Linked DNA regions of Mytilus edulis. The protein of the gene in region 1 purifies or fractionates together with the protein of each later gene. This does not show direct contact. Links are inferred from orthologs where the notes say so. Each region holds a gene or a part of one and is shown on either strand. Other genes may lie near its edges. The genes, in order: stress-induced-phosphoprotein 1-like, dnaJ homolog subfamily B member 6-like and ATP-citrate synthase-like.

The links.
Region 2: the proteins of stress-induced-phosphoprotein 1-like (region 1) and dnaJ homolog subfamily B member 6-like purify together in Homo sapiens (affinity purification with mass spectrometry; 3 studies listed by BioGRID and IntAct, with this or other methods). This does not show direct contact. The link is inferred for Mytilus edulis from reciprocal best matches to the Homo sapiens genes STIP1 and DNAJB6.
Region 3: the proteins of stress-induced-phosphoprotein 1-like (region 1) and ATP-citrate synthase-like fractionate together in Homo sapiens (co-fractionation; 3 studies listed by BioGRID, with this or other methods). This does not show direct contact. The link is inferred for Mytilus edulis from reciprocal best matches to the Homo sapiens genes STIP1 and ACLY.

The regions. Positions count from the first base shown.
Region 1 is NC_092346.1:83,738,435-83,746,245, forward strand, and holds the start of stress-induced-phosphoprotein 1-like, read right to left. Parts: upstream 3,020-7,811; 5' UTR 2,765-3,019; coding exon 2,741-2,764; intron 1-2,740. Other genes in the region: putative per-hexamer repeat protein 5, read left to right, coding at 5,192-5,457, 6,696-6,939. UniProt on the Homo sapiens protein: Acts as a co-chaperone for HSP90AA1. Mediates the association of the molecular chaperones HSPA8/HSC70 and HSP90.
Region 2 is NC_092345.1:102,191,065-102,198,037, forward strand, and holds the start of dnaJ homolog subfamily B member 6-like, read right to left. Parts: upstream 3,084-6,973; 5' UTR 2,960-3,083; intron 1-2,959. Other genes in the region: polyribonucleotide 5'-hydroxyl-kinase Clp1-like, read left to right, coding at 3,342-3,362. UniProt on the Homo sapiens protein: Has a stimulatory effect on the ATPase activity of HSP70 in a dose-dependent and time-dependent manner and hence acts as a co-chaperone of HSP70. Plays an indispensable role in the organization of KRT8/KRT18 filaments.
Region 3 is NC_092345.1:105,917,929-105,925,154, reverse strand, and holds the start of ATP-citrate synthase-like, read right to left. Parts: upstream 3,023-7,226; 5' UTR 2,951-3,022; exon of another isoform or gene 2,646-2,950; intron 1-2,645. UniProt on the Homo sapiens protein: Catalyzes the cleavage of citrate into oxaloacetate and acetyl-CoA, the latter serving as common substrate in multiple biochemical reactions in protein, carbohydrate and lipid metabolism.

The DNA.
Region 1 (7,811 bases):
CAATTTTACCCCATGTCAGATTTGCTCCAAATGCTTTGGGTTTTGAGTTATAAGCCAAAAACTGCATTTTACCCCATGTTCTATTTTTAGCCATGGTGGCCATCTTGGTTTGATGGCCGGGTCACTGGACACATTTTTCAAACTACTAACCCAAAAGATGATTGTGGCCAAGTTTGGATTAATTTAGCCCAGTAGTTTCAGAGGAGAAGATTTTTGTAAAATATTACTAAGATTTACGAAAAATAGTTAAAAATTGACTATAAAGGGCAATAACTCCTAAAGGGGTCAACTGACCATTTCAGTCATGTTGACTTATTTGTAAATCTTACTTTGCTGAACATTATTGCTGTTTACTGTTTATCTCTATCTATAATAATATTCAAGATAATAACCAAAAACAACAAAATTTCCTTAAAATTACTAATTCAGGGGCAGCAACCCAACAACGGGTTATCCGATTCATCTGAAAATTTCAGGGCAGATAGATCTTCACCTGTTTAACAATTCTATTCCATGTCAGATTTGCTCTAAATACTTTGGTTTTTGAGTTATAAGCCAAAAACTGCATTTTACCCCTATGTTCTATTTTTAGCCATGGCGGCCATCTTGGATGGTTGGTCGGGTCACCGGACACATTTTTTAAACTAGATACCCCAATGATGATTGTGGCCAAGTTTGGTTTAATTTGGGCCAGTAGTTTCAGAGGAGAAGATTTTTGTAAAAGTTAACGACGACGCCGGACGCCGGACGCCAAGTGATGAGAAAAGCTCACTTGGCCTTTTAGGCCAGGTGAGCTAAAAACACATATATACTTTTCTTGGAATGATCTTCAATGCATTTTATGATTTAATTTAAAGATGGATTTAAGAAAGAAAAAAAAAAAAAAGACATTTAGCTTGTATAGTACCTATTGAGGGGATCTGCAACACTATTCAGTAGATAACTATACACTTGACTTTATGGTCCAGGCCTCTACAATAACTTTTTTTTCAACTTGTCCAGTAGGACAAGTACATTCCAAAACTTACTTGTAACTTGTCCAAAACAAATCTTAATATTAACCTTTTTTGCATTTCAAGTTGATTCAAGGAACAAAATGAATTACAAAAAAATTGAACAGAATTTGATTTATATCCTTTGAAATACTTTTAAAAGATATGAGCCATGAACAACTGAATTGAGTTGTGTCACAGGACTTAGGTTCTAGTTTTTATCAATGCTAAAGTCTCATCATACTTTGCACATGAGGCACCATCTGATTGGCCTCTAAATGTACACTCATTGGATTTTTATCCATTTTTTTAAAAGTTGAAAAAAGTTTATTCAAATGCAATCAATAAAAAGAATATGAGGCATGATTGTCAATTTGACACAAGACCAAATGACACAGAAATTAACACTTATAGGTCACTGCATTGCATTGGTATTGTTTTTTCTACATAAAGATCAAACATGATTTGATGATTTTTATGGTAAATAATTTCCTCATTCTTATTTAAAAAATACGTTATGGACATCGGTATTAATTATTATAGAGCAACAAAATAAGGTAGGAAAAGAAGTTCTGATTTGTCTTGGTCCAGAAATGTCTACTGCCTTGCCAAACTGTCTATTAATCATGTTTATGAAATATGTCTCCTACAGTGCCCAACTGTCTATTAAACTTGGAGCCGAATCATTTCCGAGCTGTTGACGAACTGTCTTTTAAAGTTACCTTATCTAAAATGCCCATGGTTGAATTGGATCTGTAAGACTGGTTTCCGAGAAAAGTGTGCTTTTTACCTGTTAAAAGTACTTGACAAAGAACCAGTTTAAATTATCGATTGCAAGTCTGAGGGGTCTAATTTTATTATTCGACTAAGAAATAAAAAGTTTCAATTAGTTTCAGTTTAAAAAGGAAAGATGTCAAACAAATCTTCTTTTCTTGTTTTTTTGTTAATAATTATACTTTGTTCATCAAAGTTGGATTAAAATTTATTTTCTGCAGAATGATTCTACTTGTCCCATCGGACAAGCTTGGTATAGCTTTTACCTGTCCGACCTTTTTTACCTCTGGTACCAGACAATCAGACAAGCGTTATTGTCGAGGCCTGTGGTCCTTATCAAATGAAGGTTGTTTACAAAAAAAATCGTGATCAAGTGTATAACTATGTACTGGTAGAATCCTCCGTTTTCAGAATCCATGTAAACTCCCTATCACTTTCAGCATTAATTGATATGTGTCACAACAATATTTACAAGGACAACCCCCACTCCAATACAACTTTTAGGGAGTGCTAGGACATTGGGAAGTCTGTTATTATGGTAGAGGAAGCCGAGAACTAGGAGAGAACCACTGCGACACTCAGCGGAAACAGAAAAATTTCTTTGCAAGTTGAGGGAGGTAATAAACAGATTTGTATCATTCACCAAAATGAGTTATAATAAGGTTAATAACAATCTGATCGACTTTAAGCTGGAACAACTTGAAATATATATATATATTATAAACCTATTTGGGTTACTCTGATACTGATAGGTTTACATGAAGTGCGACTCCATGGTATCATGTTAAATCATGGTGGCATTTCCACGTGAGCTTGCAGTTAAAAGTTTGTATTTACTTTTTTTTTCATTGATATGTGTGCTAGGTGCCGGTTTTCCAGTTAGTGTAAAACACGTGCAGACAAATTCAACAGAATTCGTTGTGGTTAACCATACTCATGGCATACAACTGGTTGTCTCTTCAACCTAATCTTACCTTTTTCTGATTTTCGGATGACATATTCCTACAGGCTACAGCGTTTTCCTATGTTTTCTCAATTATTGAAACCGAATTTTCTAGAGTCATTCGTACTTATCGGAACTCACTTAGCATTATCCATTAGTTTTTGTCGACTGATTCCCTGAAAAAGAAATTTCTTCGTACCGAGAAGAAGGAACAGTGACCAGTATATTTACCTCCCTTTGATATTCCGGAACGCCTTGGTAGTTTTCGTCAATAAAAACGACTTGCAGCTTTAATCTGTGATATGCGCATAAAAAATTAAAATAGATCATTTAAATGCGCATATTACATACACCTCTTGAACTAAGGGAGCTACCATTTGATTTTTATGGGGGGGCTAGGATGAAAAATTTTGTCCTGCATTTTTTTTTAGCTGTAATCTCTGTCCTGCCTTTTTATTTTTCACTCTGTTCGGTCCTGCCTTTTTTTTTTTAGTTTATTCTGACTTTTTTTTACCTAAATTGTCGTCCTGACTTTTTTTTTTTGCAAGTGTCTCATCCTGCCTTTTTTTTTTACTCAAAACTACTGTCCTGCCTATTTTTTTTCAAATTTCATAGCCCCCCAATAAAAATCAAATGGTAGCTCCCTAATGAAATCATAGAACAATAAACAATACAATACAATACAATACAATACAATACAATACAATACAATACTATAGTGTTATTAACTGGCTGTTTCTGTATTGGCACTGGTATAGATTCTCGGTCAGCTGTATTGGCCCTCGACCCCGTAGGGTCGAGGGCCAATACAGCTGACCGAGAATCTATACCAGTGCCAATACAGAAACAGCCAGTTCATAACACTTTTATTAAAGGCACTGGCTACGGTTACATGGAAATGTAACAATAATAAAAATATTATTGTTACATTGGAGACTAATTGCCGGAATGCAAAGTTGGGTGAGGAACCGATTAATTACAAATGTAACAATAATTACTGAGGCTACGGTTACATTACGTTATTGTTACATGAAACAGCAATGTACGCTAGATTGATTAAACTTAAATCTTCTATAGTTGTATTGCTTCATTCTTTCATATGTACTAAACAATACTAGTAATTTAATACTGATAAACAATAAAATATTATTTTTCAACAAATGGTGTACAACTTGAATAGTTTTACTACATATTAATGGTTTTGATGTTCTTAAAGATACTGCTCAAAATTAGGAGTGTGACTGTCAAAGGCGAAAAATATAGTTCAATGGTTTCACTTTTTTGAAGTATTTAACTGCACACCTACTCTTATTACTGTCATTATACTTTGGACCAATTTTGTTTATGGTGAAAAAAATAAAAGTTAGGATGCGTTTTAAACGAAACTGAAACAATATCAGGACATACATTTCATACAGCTTTATAACTTGACGCAAATTGATAATCAAAAGCAAAGTTTGCTTACTGTAACTTAAAAAAAATACTAAGAAATTATGTATGTACACGTATCCGTGGAGGACGTAATTTCGGTCATCAAAAATGTGTCGGACTTTAAAAACAACTTACTGGATTTGTAGAAATTGTCATTGTAAATAAAAAATTACAGTAAATAAATTGTATGTTATAAATGTATGTAATAAATGTCCTCAACTTTTATTATTTAGTACATATTACTAGTCCCATCGTACTTTGCTTTTTTTCATGTAACAATAACGCAATGTAACCGTAGCCTCAATAATTATTGTTACATTCGTAATTAAACAGGTCCTTACCCAACCATGCATTCCGGCATTTAGTCTCCAATGTAACAATAATATTTTTATTATTGTTACATTTCCATGTAACCGTAGCCAGTGCCTTTATTAAATGATTATAAGAGAATTAAAAACCGGAAGTGAACGTCCCGTATTAGCCCATGGGCCAATACAGCTTTTTTCCCGCTTTTTTCTGTAATTGCCCTGTTTTTTCCGTTTGAAAACATTAAGACATTACAAAACATTGCACATCATTTAACCTGTTTATTTTATTACTTTAATTTAAAAAATATTATACAAATGTTTTTATGCATAACGATACTTCAAGAGTAAAGTAATGGCGTAAGAAAATTGAAAACCGGAAGTGAACGTCCTGTATTAGCCCTAGGGCTAATACGACTTTTTTCCCGCTTTTTTCTGTATTGGCCCTGTTTTTTTCCGTATTGGCCCTGTTCGAAGAGCAATATTAACTCTTGATTTATATCGACAGTGGAACGTTTTTAGTATTGCACATGCTGATTTATCCGTATTAGGGCTTATTTGCTCATATCATTTAATAAAATACAATACAATACAATACAATACACAATACCAATACCAATACCAATACCAATATCAATATAATACCAATACAATACCAATACCAATATAATACCAATACAATTAATACAAATACAAATACAAATACAATACAATATAAAACCAATATCAATAAAACACCAATACCAATGTCACTGTCTACGTCACTGTTGATGCCAATCAATGTCAATGTCAATGCAATGTCAATTGGGATTGGGATTGGAATTGGAATTATAATTGAAATAAGAATTGGAATAGGAATAGGAATAGGAATAGGAATAGGAATAGGAATAGGAATAGGAATAGGAATAGGAATAGGAATAGGAATAGGAATAGGAAAAGGAATAGGAATAAGGAATAGCAATAGCAATAGCAATAGCAATAGCAATGGGAATGGGAGTGTGAATTGGAATAGGTATAGGAATTAGAATAGGAAACGAAATAGAAATAAGATGTCAACTGATTACAATATTCGAAGTCAATGTTGATGTCAATGTCAATGACAATTACAATGCAAATGACAATGTCAATACCAATAGGAATAGGAATAGGAATTAAAATATGACTATGATTAGGATTAGGAATATGAATATGAGAAGTAACAGCAATATAAATTGAAATAGGAATAGGAATTGGAATAGGAATAGGAATGGGAATGGGAATGGGAATGGGAATGGGAATGGTAATAGGAATAGGAATTAGGAATAGGAATAGGAATTAGGAATTAGGAATTAGGAATTAGGAGTAGGAATAGGAATAGGATTAGGAATAGGAAGAGGAATTATGAATAGGAATAGGAATAGGAATAGGACTAGGAATAGGAATTAGGAATAGGAATATGAGAAGTAACATGAATATAAATTGAAATTGGAATAGGAATTGGAATTGGAATAGGAAAAGGAATAGGAATAGGAATAGGATAGGAATTGGAATAGCAATAGCAATAGCAATAGCAATAGCAATAGCAATTGGAATAAAATTGAAATAACAATAGCAATAAGAATATGAATATGAATTCGAATTGAAATAGGAATACCGTATAGCGGGTTATTTTCGCGGGTGTGAATTTTCGCTTATTTTCGCGGAAAGAACCAAAATCACCAAAATAAATTCCGCCAATTTAAAAGTGCACAGGCTAAGATATTGATAACAAAAATTTGAGTCCGCTAAAATAATAACCGTCAAAATATTTCGAATACATTTTTCAATGAAAATCGCGAATTTTTACACCCGCGAAAATAACCCGCTATACGGTATGATTAGGAATTGGAAAAGGATAAGTAATAGGTAAATGAATTCGAATAGGAATAGAATAGGAAATTGAATTGGAATATGAATTTGAATAGGTAATGAATTCGAATTGTAATAGGATCAGCAGGCGCGGATCCAGAGGGGGGGGGGGGGGTCCGGGGGTTGGAACCCCCCTTTTTTTTGGCCGATGTATTTGAATGGGAGCATATAGCTGGACACCCCCCCCCCCCTTTTTACCCTGGGTTGGGAACCCCCTTTTTTAAAATGGCTGGATCCGCCCCTGATCAGGAATAGGAATAATAATAGGAATAGGATTAGGAATATGAATAGCATTAGGAATATGAATAGGATTAAGAATATGCATTTGAATATGAATTTGAATATGAATTGGAATTGGAATAGGAATTGGAATAAAAAGAGGAATAAGATTAGGAATAGGATTAGGATTAGGATTAGGATCACGGGATCAGGATCAGGATCAGGATCAGGATCAGGATCAGGATCAGGATCAGGATCAGGATCAGGATCAGGATCAGGATCAGGATCAGGATCAGGATCAGGATCAGGATCAGGATCAGGATCAGGATCAGGATCAGGATCAGGATTAGGAATAGGAATAGGAATAGGATTATTAATAGGAAAATGAATTGGAATAGGAATATGGTCGGGTATAGGAAAAGGAATAGGAATAAGATATGAATTGATAATGGAATTGAATTTGGAATTGAAATACTCTAACGCGAGAAAAGACCGAGGAAGTCATGTTTTTTTCAGATTTTTTTCTCTTCTGTTCAACAATTGGCAACCCCTGAATTACAGGCTCCTGACCTCGGACAGGCACCTACAAACACAATGTGGATGTTTTAAACTTGTTACCGGGATCCTAACCCTCCCCTAACCTGGGACAGTGGTGTAACAGTATAAAACAAAAACGAATAATAAAAATGAGTTGAAAAAGGCTTAAATCATTAGAAGGATACAAGTGTAGATACATCTATCAAAAACACAGAGTGGAAGTGGCCGGGTACCAAGACTCTTTCATTTTGCAATAGAATTAGTGCATTTGTCTTTTCTGCACTTTACACAAGTTTTCCCCATTCCAAACTAAAAGACAAATTGAAAGTATTGGTTCTGCTTTTATTCATAAAAAAGTATGACCAACGTAAATACAAGTATTTTGTCTTAGGGAGGGATAAATCATACTTTGAAAAAAAAACACTTTGATTCAAACAAACAATTGTCTGAAACTGACATCTAGATGCTTGATTTGAATGACAATATATTCATTACGTTTGTATGACATGTTTGTTTTTTAAAAACAAACAATCTGCATTTGCATGGGAACTTGCCGACTTGTTCCTTTATTCGTGTGAGACTGACTTAATACAGGAACTTCAGTTCTTATGAAGAACGAAAAGAAGTTAGCAGTACTTTCTGCTATAGCCTATGTAGATGATGTTCTATCACTAAATAGTAAGAAAAACACATTCAATTCCGTTCAATCTCTGCATCTAGTAC
Region 2 (6,973 bases), on another chromosome or scaffold:
GTTTACTCTGAAAGTTGTTGACCTACAAATTAAAGTATTGCATGTTGATGTTTGAATCATCTACAGCAAACATAATTATGTTTAAATTTAACAAATAATTTACAATTAGTGCACGAACTCTGAGAATGATTTAAATAACCAGTGAAGAATATCCCTGCTTCTTCATAGTGTGGCATTCCAACAATGACGTCATTATAAAATATAATGTAGGTTGGATATATTTAGAATATCTCGTCACTGATTTTTCCGGATTGTAAAAGAAACGTAAATAGTGTAAAAGAGAGCTCAAAATACGATAATTTCGCTAGAAACAGAAGGGAAATATGTAGAAAAGTATTTAAAGTCAATCTTTTCATTTGTGTGTTTCCTTCTCATCAAGCTCAGTAAGATTTTTTGGGGGTAATCACACTATAAAAACAAAATGAATGATGTGAGGGAATGTCACTCTGGTCAACCCCATATGGGATTGACGGCTTGAAGCCGTCTTTCCCCCAAAAACAAGCATATTGTGAGTATTGCATGGTATTAAATAGTCCCAATCTGGTTAAAAAATTTATAAGGGTTCCGCGGAACCCATTGTCCTGTCTACTTTTGCTGTTAATCACACACTCAACAAAAATGAAGAAAAAAATCAACAAAATTATTCCTCTCGATACTATCTTTTGATTGTCAGAAGCTTCTGTTCAAGTTCGGTAAAATTCCAGGCTAGTTTAAGAAACTTAAAAATGTTTTAACAACTTTAACTGCAGACTGTATGTAATGTTAACTAGAAGAAAAACAAGCTTCTGGCCAAGTTTCGTACAATTCCAGGATAGTTTAAGAAAGTTATTAAAATTTTAAAAACTTTAACCACAGATTGCATGTACATGTAATGGTTCCGAGCAGAAAAACTAAGTCCATTTATAAGTAAAAAAATGTAAAATATGGAAAAAATGGAATTTTATTTTTACAAAATTTACTCCTGGATACTATCTTATGAACATAAACAAGCTTCTGTCCAAGTTTGGTAGAAATCTACAATGTAGGATATTTCAAGAAAGTTATTAAAATTTCAAAAACTTTAACCACAGAGTGAATATTTGTGGACGCCGTCGATGACACCGATGGAATGTAGGATCGCTGTCTCGCTTTTTCTTCTAAAGTCGAAGGCTCGACAAAAATCATTGTAACGGAACAAATTCTAACTTGATCTTGTCATTGTGTGAACGATTACTCACATTACGAATTTACGATCAGGTTAATTTGCTCTTTCTGCTACATTGTAGCTCTCCATTGTAAATACAAATTAATGTACCTCATAAAAGAGACAACTAAAAAAAGCGATCTATAATAACAGGGTCAATTATGGGAATTAGTTAGACATGGAAAATAAGCTACACATGGGTCAACGTAATTTCAAATTATATGGGGACAAAGTCCCCAATAACAGTAGAAAATTCAATAAAAAAAAAAAACGGAAAAATTTTCCCGATATTTTCATTGTACTAATGAACTCAAAATAGTTCAATTTTTTTTATGTCATGTTTTGAATTCCTGCATCTGCGCAGAAATCTACAATGTTCTTCCTTTTTCCGGTCTTGTTTGCATGAAATTTTGAGTAAAATATATATATTTATCAGTTTAGTATAAAATAGGAAGGAACGCAATATCAATTTCATTTTTTTAATAATTCCTTGATATGAAAAAACGTTACCTAATGATAGCGTTTCTTTGTTAAAATTGCATATGACGTCATAACTTAAATAACGGCACAACTAAAATCCCTAACAAGAGAACCAAAATCGGAAACATTACGGTATTTCCGTTTCGAAATTAAGATATGTTTGAATTAAAATAAAATCATAGACTTCGTTCCCTTTCACAGGTAATGCCTGCCTCATATTATACATTTTACAGACTTAAGAGGTATTGAGTGAAATTAAAGTATACGGTGCAGTCCGGTGTATCCGCTCACCTAAGACTTATGACTTCACTTCATTCAACTGATAAAACCAATAAATGAATAATATTATGTGAACACATTCATAACATACTTTTATTTCATAAAATCTTCTGTTTGTATGGTTTCACCCTCAAGATTTTGTGTAATATGTGTCCAAAATTAGGGAAACCCTGTTCTGAGAGTTCCTCCAATGTCCGGTGATTTCGCGCATGCCTTCCAAAAATAGCTTATTTTAAAAAAAGAAAAGATTTTATACTACGAAATATAGCTGAGTTTGAACCAAAAACACTGCCAAGGATGCAGAGCAAAAATCATTTCAATCTGATATAAGTTTGACTTAAATAAAACAAATTTTATCTGATGATGTATTTTTTTTTAACGGAAATTGGCCAAATATGGCAAATTACGGGATTGCAGTTATTAATTAACTCTTGAACTTATCAATTTTATTCTTTTTTATCCCTTCAGATGGCTAAAACAATAACAAGAACGATTGTGTTTGTGATACTGTGTTGATATGACAAAATAAGCTAATGCGCGATATCACGGGCCGCGCAGACACCGGGGACTACTCCACTGTATATTCATCATTAAACACCATTTCAAAATGTTCAATGCATTTCAATAATTATATAAGTTGGTACAAGTTTACAATGGTATGAATTTACAGTGGTACAAGTTAGCAGTGGTACAAGTTTGCATTAGTACAAGTTTTTTTTAGTGGTATGAGTTGACATTGGTACAAGTTTATAATGGTACAGGTAACTATAATTTTGTCTCATATACATGTACATCATAAAGAATACATTGTACAATATTCAATATTTATCAGGTAAAAATACTATAGCCACTATATACAAATAAGATTCTTTAGTCTGTCTATAATCATTTATAATTTCTGAAATTCTGTGCAAAAAAACATCTTTTCTATTTCATTTTTTTTCGTTCATAGCTTTCGATAAATATACATGCTTGCCTTTTTCTCTAGTTAATTCTACTCAATACTAATCAACTTACCAATCTTTGTTTTGTTCTTTTGGAACAGAATAGAAAAGAATAGAACAGAAAGTAGGCCAATATTATTTCCAAACAAGAAGCTTATCCGTCTCTGTAAAGTGTATTCCGTATAAAACGCATGAATGATTTTGACTATATTTAGAGAGTATATATGAATTGAAAGGTTAAACATTGATAATTAATGATAGAAATTATGTATCAATTAAATTTTATTTAATATTAAGTATAATTCAAATACAAAGAACTTAAATCAGAAATGCTGAACATAAAAAAATCAAATGTTTAAAGAGTAATTTTTAAAATGGCAGCCCCCATGAGAAACAAATTTTGTTGAAACATAATTTAGCAGAAGTTTTGCTGCTCATCGGCACAGGAATAAAACATGTCCGAAGAAAAGAAAGAGGTATTTAATATACACATATTTGTTTTAACGTTTTATGGCTTAAGATCACAAAGCTGATTTTGAATCCTTTGAACAAGGATTTGTATTTTTGGCAGGCCCTCCTACCGCTTCTATTGGAGTTATCAATACCAAAATTGAACCATCGATAGACCTCAACATGAACTTTTACCAGATGAACTTTTGTAGGATTTCACCCTCCCCTTGAGGAGTAATCTCCCATTTATTGATTTTTTTCAACATGGTCCCCCCAAAATTAGTTAAAAGGTATCATAACTTTAATTGGTCAATAGGTAGATCTCATCATGATGTATTACCATATGAGGCTGCATAAGATTTCATCATCCCCTTTGAGAGTTATATCCCCTTGAAACAATTTCTTTTATTTGCATTTTTCTCAAAAAGTATTAGAGATAGAATTGAATTGAAAATGACAGCATGTATAAGAACAGATGGAAATGTTTATAAACATAAACAATTAATTTGTTGCCATCCCTTATAAGGAGTTATTTCCCTTTAAAATTTAAAAATAATTTTTCAAAAATTCTATTTTGAGAACCGAAAGTCATAGAGACTTGGAACCTTCACCAATAATCTTAAATTCATATGACCTTTAATATGCATCCAAGGTCAAAGGTCACCGAGTGCAAAAAAAAAATTACGCTGCAATCTCAAGCTTACATATTAGAAAAACGATAAGACTTTACTGCATACATATAGCGTATAAAATGTTCTTCACAACGAGTTCTACATTTTATACAATAAGCCCAAAAATGTCCGACCGTCTGTTCAAAAGTTACAACGGGATGAGTCTTACAAGTATAGTATTGTGTGTATATCTTTTTAAAGGTAACAGATATCAACCTACTATCAACAGCAAAGATGATCAGTAATTCAAGGCCTTCAATTTGAGGTCAATGTCAGGTCATGATGAAATTTCACCTTGACCTTCATATTATACTATGACCTTGACCTTGTGATATTTGAAAGGTCAAGTGGTCTTGAGTTGAATGGTGATAGTCCCATGTCTCTACGACTTCCGGTTCTCAAGTTTGGTTTTGCATCATATATTTGATGATTAATTGTGACCTTGTTGAACTTTCAAATTGTTTCAATTCTTTTCCTATAATGTTGTCCTTCAACTGTAGATCATTTATCATTTAACAGATTTGAGATATCTATTGTCGTTTTTGAGATAATGCAGTTTGAAGTTTTGCGAGCGGAGGCATGTATTTCTGAATCAACCAGAGCTTAGCACTTAAAATGTTTTAGAAATTGAAGAGGTTGACATAGTTATATGTTTGACCAAATACGAAAAATATTCCATGGAAAAAAAACACCAAAAAATCAATTTGAAAATTTCAAGCTTTGCATTGACTTTGTAAGTTTCATAACTTCTATTTATATAGTTGATATTACATCATTATTTGCACTTTGTCATATGGGGTCATCTGATATATCATATTGAAGGTCTTAATAAACTCTACTTAAAAATGAAAATTTTAAACCCCTTTTTCATCCCAGGGGGACGGGTGGGGTCATTTAGTGCAAACATTCAAATTTCTCAGATGGTAAGGTTGTCGCATATCAAATGAAAGAATATAAAGCGTACATTTCAAATTTCAAATTGACGTCTCCCAAAAATGGGTTGGATGGGGTCATTGAGTGCAAAAAATAAATCTTCTTTTACGGTAAGGTTGTTGTATATCAAATGAAAGGTCATGATGTGTACATTTGAAATATCAAATTCCCAACCTCCAAAAATTAGTTGGGTAGGGTTATTAAGTGTAAAAATCAAACTTTTTAGAACATGGCGTTGTCGCATATCAAACGAAATCTCATCTACCCTGTGTTACATATATCATACTTCCGATCTCAAAAATGTAGGCTGATGAGGTCATTAAGTGTAAAAAGCGAAAAGTTTCAGAAGGTATGCTTGTCGTATATCAAACGAAAGGTCGTACAAAGAACATTAAGAAAACATTACTTTTACAGGAAAGACCTTTCAATTGTTTTACAAACAATTGAGATACTAGTTTATTTAGTTTCTCTGTAGTGCCACATCATAAATACAAATGTACTAATGATTTTAATACAATAGAGCCATAAAATTACCAGAGTGATCGAAATTACAGATAGAGATTATAGTGTCAAGTTGACACTTCTAAAGACTAAAGACTTAGTATGTACAGCCTCAACAGGAACATTTTTTCTCTGTTCGTTTAATTTTCTGTAGCCTAGAATTTTTGACAAAAATGTTACCTGACAAAGAGAACGAGTCTGTATATGTATGATCCTCAAATCTCAATCTTATGGCCTTATGGCACAACTCTTCTCATTGGTGCATATTACGCCCTATGTGTATCTTCCTCCATGTATTTTCCTCCATGTACTTTAATTTTGTTTTTGCTGTTACGATTGAGGTTGCGGATGTTCGGGTAAGTCGAAACGTCCTGTTTTTGAAAATAACAGTATGAGAAGCTGTTTTTATGTAACAATTAAATGATCGACATATATATGTTATATTTTGGGTATAAATTAGTTGAATTGTTTCTTCTGATTAAGTGTAGGACTCATTTTGAGTATATTCACACTGACACATACATGCCATACAGTCACCTCTATATAATGATATACAGTTAAAAAAACCAAGTATTTACAGTTAATAATCCAATAACTACAATTTATGAAAATGGTGAAGATAGCCAGTGCCTGTTTAAACCCATCAAGGGTTGGCAAACTGACTAGTGGCAGTCACAGTGAGGCTGGTGATCCTGATCCTACGGTCAATATTTAGCTTTGACACATCTGGTCTCTTTGTGCTTACTTGTAGTTTCTCTGGGTAATGTCACATTGTTTAATTTAGTTAAATTGTTTAGGCACTGTATCGGAATTCTTCAAGGCTTAGTGTTTCCTGGAATCCCCCTGAAATCTTTAAATATTCTCCTATCATATTCATTGTTATCTCGTATGTCTCTTTCTTTGTTGGTGCTAAAAGTTTGTGACTGGAGACCTATTGGGATGTTATGTACATACATGTACAAAATGTATCTCCGGCTGTCTTCTTCTCATTGAATTTCTCAGGACTTCTATGTGCAAATAGAATTTTTAATTGACTGTCCTTTTCAGATGTGACCATCATGTCTTTACTCATCATTTTAGTGTAATTTCATGGACAATGAAAATTTCCCTTGTCTATTATCTTCAGAACAGTTCTCATTTACAAGCCCAAAAAAACAGCGTTTTTGCATATGGGGTATATATCTCCCATCTCCCAATTGATACGATATTCCTGTGCTTGCATTTCCTATCATGATTTTCTTGATAGAGAGTTGCTGCTCACACGTATGCTATTAAACCAAGAGTTCCAAATGGTGAAGTTTAAATCATTCCTTCAATAATTTTATGGACGTGATGACGAGTTGGTTGACTGTTATTGAATAACCGTTTCACAAATGATATCGGATAATTATGTTCCTTACAAAGTAACTACAATCATCTTCCCTTTCATGAATGTGACCTACCGAATTAGACTATTTACCGGATTTGTTATCACATAAGCAACACGACGGGTGCCACATGTGGAGCAGGATCTGCTTACCCTTCCAGAGCAC
Region 3 (7,226 bases), on another chromosome or scaffold:
ATGTCTTGAAGATCCGGTGTCTAACGGTCTAAAAACATACCTGGACTTTATTTTAACCCTTCAGAAATTTTTTCAACACCTATTCTAGTGATGGATATTTTTGACATTAAATAAAAATTTGTAAGGGTTCCGCGGAACCCAGTGTCTCGCCTATTTTTGCTGTAAATCACAGGCTCAACAACAATGAGGAAAAAAATCAATCAAAATATTCCTCTTGTTACTATTTTATGATTGTAAGAAAATCTAAGTCCATTTGAAAGTAAATTACAGAAAAAAACAGAGTAATCTTTTTACAAACTTTACTTCTGGATACAATCTTATGATCATAAATAAGGTTATTTCCAAGTTTGGTACAAACCCAGGATAGTTTAAGAAAGTTATTTAAATTTTAAAAACTTTAACCACAGAGTGAATGTAATGGTTCCCTGCAGAAAAAACTAAGTCCATTTATAAGTAAAATACGGAAAAAATTGAATTTTATTTTTACAAAATTTTCTTCTGGATACTATCTTATGATCATAAACAAGCTTCTGTCCAAGTTTGGTACAAACCCAGGATAGTTAAAGAAAGTTATTAAAATTCTAAAAACTTTAACCACAGAGTGAATGTAATGTTTCCCCGCAGAAAAAACTAAGTCCATTTATAAGTAAAATACGGAAAAAATGGAATTTTATTTTTACAAAATTTACTTCTGGATATTATCTTATGATCATAAACAAGCTTCTGTCCAAGTTTGGTACAAACCCAGGATAGTTTGAGAAAGTTATTAAAATTCTAAAAACTTTAACCACAGAGTGAATGTTTTGTTTCCCCGCAGAAAAAACTAAGTCCATTTATAGTAAAATACGGAAAAAATGGAATTTTATTTTTACAAAATTTACTTCTGGATACTATCTTATGATCATAAACAAGCTTCTGTCAAAGTTTGGTAGAAATCCAGTATAGTTTAAGAAAGTTATTAAAATTTCAAAAACTTTAACCACAGAGTGAATATTTGTTGACGCCGCCGACGACGCCGACGACGACGGAATGTAGGATCGCTTAGTCTCGCTTTTTCGACTAAAGTCGAAGGCTCGACAAAAATGACAAATACATGTAGGTCAGTTTTATAAAAGACAGTGTCTGCGTGTACCCGGGTACGAATAGTCATATTGCCGTTCGTAGGCTACGCATACCCACATCTGGTTTTACAATAAAATGGCACGGGATCGAGGAAGGAAACGTGAAATATGTAGGAAATTTGTCGCAATTAGTGAATAAATTGATTAAAACTACTCATAAGCATGATAAGTTTTATAAATATTTATAAATAAATATATAGGTAAGGCAGCAACCATTTGATTTTCTGGGGGCGGCTATGGATTTTTTTTCTGGACAAGTCGCAAAACAATTTTTTTCTTTCAATTTTATAGTGGCAGCTGAGGGGGAAACAAACAATTTTTTTTTCTCAGAATCACAAAACAAATTATTTTTTTCTCCAAAAACTTGAAACCAAACTTTTTTTTCCCAAAAAATCAATAGAGCCCCCCCCCCCCCCAGAAAATCAAATGGTTGCTGCCTAAGTGAACAGTTTTTCTCAATTAAAAAATATTCTTAAATCGGAGGAGCGTGATATGATACATGTGGGGAAGACATTCACTCAAAGTTATCATAAATTGAAACAAATTGTTCCAAACTATGAGCATGATCATGATGAGTTGATTAATTTTATAAATTGTATAAAAGAAACTCAGAGGAGAAAAGAAGAAATGGAAACACAAAAATTAAAGGGGGATTTAAGATTTAACATATATATTAATAAATTTTTCCTGTATTCATGGAGGCAAAAAATTCAAAACAAATTCGACAGGAAAAAAAACTAATATAAGGTATTTGTTTTAAATTGTAGTTTTAAATCAAATTTGCTGCATTTCATTCATTAGTCAATTTTTTGTTATGTCAAATACTTCTTGTTTTTCTATTGTCAATGATTGTAAGCTGTTCATGATTTAAAGGATATGTCTACTTTCAGTACTTTCCAAATAGAATATCCTTTCCACTTTAGACTTGAAATGTGGATCAGCCTGATCATGTGAAAACATATCACATACGAAAACAGCTGAAGGACACCTACGGGTGCGGGAGTTTCTCGCTACATTGCCTTGAAGACCGATTGGTGGCCTTCGGCTGTTGTCTGCTCTATGGTCGGGTTGTTGTCGCTCTGACACATTCCCCATTTCCTTTCTCAATTTTATATGACACGACGATAGTAATATAAAATCTTGAGACAAGTGCTTGTACCTTAATACACCTTATCGCTATTTGTCCGCCATTGCTGGAAATCACACAGGTTCCCGTAAAATTTTGACGTCATAAAACAAAATATCTGACGCCACAATGGAAAAGTGATTGTTGTTGACGTCAAAAGTTCAAGCGGCCGGGTCAGCCGGGATTATAGTCCAAATAATTATGACGTCTTGAAAGGCTATTGTAATTTGTTTCTTTGACGCCTTACATCGAGTCAAAGAAAAAAATTATAATAGCCTTTCAAGACGTCATAATTATTTGTACTACCGGGATTAGCGATAAGGTGTATTGTGATTTTACAGTAAAAAAAAATAATGCATGCTGCATTTAAAATTAAAGTTGAAATAACAATGCCTCACCTGTGCGACTTGAATATCTTTTAAGTGAAAAACTTACTCCAAATATATATAGATATATGAAACTGCAAATCAGGTATAATCATACGATATCACACCACCCGGCATTCGTGCGTCGCCAACAACGCGCCGGAAGTGCAATTTGTCCAAATTAGAGGGGTTTTATTGACTGTTAGAAACTAAACATAACAATTTCATGTATTATATACCTATAAAATACTTTAAAACGTTCTGGTACCAACTGTCAAAGGACAATTATCCCACACAAGTCAAATAAAATTAACACATTTGATCACATTTGACATTACCTTCGTAGAAAAGCGGAAGTGATTTTCTTACGCTGTTGGACAACTCGGCCTAAAACAAACTCGACCTTAAACAAACAAACTTGATACAAGGACAATACAACCAATCGATGCACTGACAGGAAAATACAACCAATCACATTGCCAGGACGATAAAATCAATCGACAGAGCCCATCAATGTAGTGCCAGGACAATGCAACCAATCGACAGAGCTTATCGATGCACTGCCAGAATAATACAACCAATCGACAGAGCCAATCGAGGCACTGCCAAAAAATCCAAACAATCGAAATAACCAATCGATGCAGTGCCAGGATAATACAACCAATCGACAGAGCCAATCGATGCACTGCCAAGACAATGCCATCAATCGACAAAGTCAACAAAAGGCACTGCCAAAACAATCCAACCAATCGATGCACTGCCAAGACAATGCCACCAATCGACAGATTCAATCGATGTACTGTCAGAACAATACAATCAATCGACAGAGATAATCGATTAGCTGCCAGGACAAAACAACCAATCGACAGAGCCAATCGATGCACTGTCAGGATAATACAAACAATCGACATAACCATGATAACCAATTGATGAAACTGCCAGGATAATACAATCATTCAACATAACCAATCGATGTACTGCCAGGACATAACAATTAAACAATCGACAGAGACAATCCATGCACTGCCAGGACAAAACAACCAATCGACAGAGCCAATCGATACTCAGCCAGAACATAACAACCAATCGACCTAACAAATCGATGCACTGCGAGGCCAATACAACCAATTGACCTAACCAATCGATGAGATGCCAGAACAATACAATCAATCGACATAACAAATCGTTGCACTGCCAGGCCAATACAACCAATCAACATAACCAATCGATGCACTGCCAAGACAATACAACCAATCGACAGACAGGCGCGTAGCTGCCTATACGCCAACACGCAGTTGCGTGCACATCGATTCGGCATGCAAAAAAAAATATAGCGAAATAAAAATATAAATTAAATGTTTAAAGAAAACACATATGTTGTCACTTTTTTTTAATTAATGAAATGTCATTAAATAACGGCATTTGGTTTCAAAATAAAAGTTTTATTGGAGATCATGACAAAATCAAGATTTGAATTTGTTATACTCAGTCTAAGACATGTAGTTTCGGAGCACATTTTACTGAGTACGGTTTATCTGTTTGGAATGAGATGTACCAATCTGCATTAGATTTATCAGATCCCGAGGCGATGTGTTCGACAGACAACAAGACCCAATCACCCTGCAAACACGCCCAAACAGTATTGGAAAGTCTCATTATATTTTGCGTTCATAGACCATATGATAATGAAACTGGAGAGTGGAGTCGCGTCTGGTATTATTAGAAAATCGCTTCTTTGCGCCGTATCTGCTTCCTTGTGTTGTTGGAAATATAACAAACGAAGATATCTCAACTTTGTCTGAGACATACGAAACTGACCTGGCATGTAATTTTGACGAATTCAATTGGGAGGTCGCTCGATGGCGAATACGTACGCTGATTTATAACACCTCGCGAGTGCTACCGTGGAGATATATCAAGGTACTACGTCTGTTGAAAACAAATGTACGATCAACAATGAACAACGACAGGTTATCATCGCTAGCATTACTGCATATTCATCGGGAATTCAGTGTTTATATTGACAAAGTAATAGAGAAGTTCGTTTCTGCCTAGACCCGAAGAGCAGATTTTGGACAATTTTGAGTAATTTCGGTATCACAAAAATGTGTTGTTTATGTATTCAATTTACCATGATTTATTCTATTCAGAAGATTAATTAATAGTTTTCATTCATAAATTGTTTATAAGTCCTTTCTACATGTAGCTCCTCTTTTAACCGTCCTATGACCGAAAACCGAAAAAAAAAAAAAATCTGCATAAAAGGGTCCCAAAATTTTTTCGTTCTAGCTACGTCCCTGACAGAGCAAATCGATGCACTGCCAAGACAATACAACCAATCGACAGAGTCAATCGACAGGGTCAATCGATGTTCTGCCAGAACAATACAACCAATCGACATAACAAATCGTTGCACTGCCAGGCCAATACAACCAATCAACATAACCAATCAATGCACTACCAAGACAATACAACCAATCGACAGAGCAAATTGATGCACTGCCAAGACAATACAACCAATCGACAGAGTCAATCGACAGAGTCAATCGATGTTCTGCCAGAACAATACAACCAATCGACATAACAAATCGTTGCACTGCCAGGCCAATACAACCAATCGACATAACCAGTCGATGAGCTTCCAGGACAATACAACCAATCGACAGAGCTAATCGATGTACTGCCAGACCAATACACCCAATTGACAGAGCCAATCAATAAACTGACAGGACAATTAAACCAATCGACAGAGCCAATTAATGCCCGTCAGGATAATACAACCAATCGACAGAGCCAATTAAGGCACTGACAGGACAATAAAACCAATCTACAGAGCTAGGACAATACAACCAATAGATAGAGCCAGGACAATACAACCAATCGACAGAGCCAATAGTACACTACCAGAACAATATAACCAATTGACAGAGCAATTCAAAACTGCCAGAACAAAAAAATCGTACAAACACGATGTAATGAAAGGATAATACAACCAATCAATACACTGCCAGGAAAATACAACCAATCCCATTGCCAGGACGATACAACCAATCGACAGAGTAAATCAATGCCCTGCCAGGACATAACAACTAATCGATAGAGCTTATCGATGCACAGCCAAGACAATGCCACCAATCGACAGTGTAAACGATGTACTGTCAAAACAATACAACCAATCGACAAAGCCAATCGATGCACTGCCAGGATAATACAACCAATCGACATAGCCAATCGAGGCACTGCCAAAACAATCAAACCAATCAACAGAGCTAATCGAGGCACTGCCAAGACAATACAACCAATGGACAGAGCCAATCGATGAAACTGCCAAGACAATACAACCAATGGACAGAGCCAATCGATGTACTGCCAGGACATAACAACCAATCGATGCACTGCCAAGACAATACAACCAATCGACAGAGCCAATAGATATCCTGTTAGAACAATACAACCAATCGACAGAGTCAATCGATGTACTGCCAGAACAATACATCCAATTGACATAACAAATCGTTCCACTGCCAGGCCAATACAACCAATCAACATAACCAATGGATGAGCTGCCAGGGCAATACAAACAATCGACAGAGTTAATTGATGCAATGTCAGGACAATACAACCAATCGACCAAGTCAATCAATGCACTACCAGGACTTTACAACAAATTTACATAACCAATCGATGCACTGCCAGGATAATACAATCAATCAACACAACCAATCGATGCACTGCCAGGATAATACAATCAATCAACATAACCAATCGATGTTCTGCCAGGATAATACAATCAATCGACAGAGCCAATAGATACCCTGTTAGAACAATACCATCATTCGACATAACAAATCGTTACACTTTCCAATAAGAAAGTTTGTTGTTCACTTACAATTAATTTCATACGATTTCCTAGTTTTGATTGGCTGATGGATACCAAAAGTTGAATATAGTAAAATAACAAAAATACTGAGTAAAACTCAAAACTACAAGTTCCATATCAAATGGCATAACCAAAAGCTCAAACACATCAAATGAATTGAAAACAACTGTCATATTCCTGATTTGGTAAAAGCATTTTCTTATGTAGAAAATAGTGGATTAAACATGGTTTTATAGCTACATGTAGCTAAACCTCTCCTTTGTATGATTATCGCATAACATTCCATTATATTGACAGAATATGAACAAAGTATGAACAAAACAAACAAACATAAAAGGTTTATATTATTTATACAATTAAACAGTTATAACAGCATGTGATATCCGTAGCAACGTTAAAACAATACATAGAAAAAACAAACGAAATGCTTAATTTAACTCGAAAAAAAACCCCAAAAGGTACAGACACATACACATGTTGAGGGGTAAAACTAGTTCAGTACTCAAACCTCAATAAGTGAATACTATAATACACAAGAAAACAATGTTTTCTAAACGTCAACTGTCACTTTAATATGTGGCGCGGATAACCTCAAGCTTCGATGAGTTGATAATACAAATGATTTAGATGGAAAGCAGTGCATCGGCATCACGAACAACGGTAATGGTCAATCTGTGACAGATAATACCACACCAAAGAGAGAACTGAGACAAAAAAAAAATGCTATTGTTGAA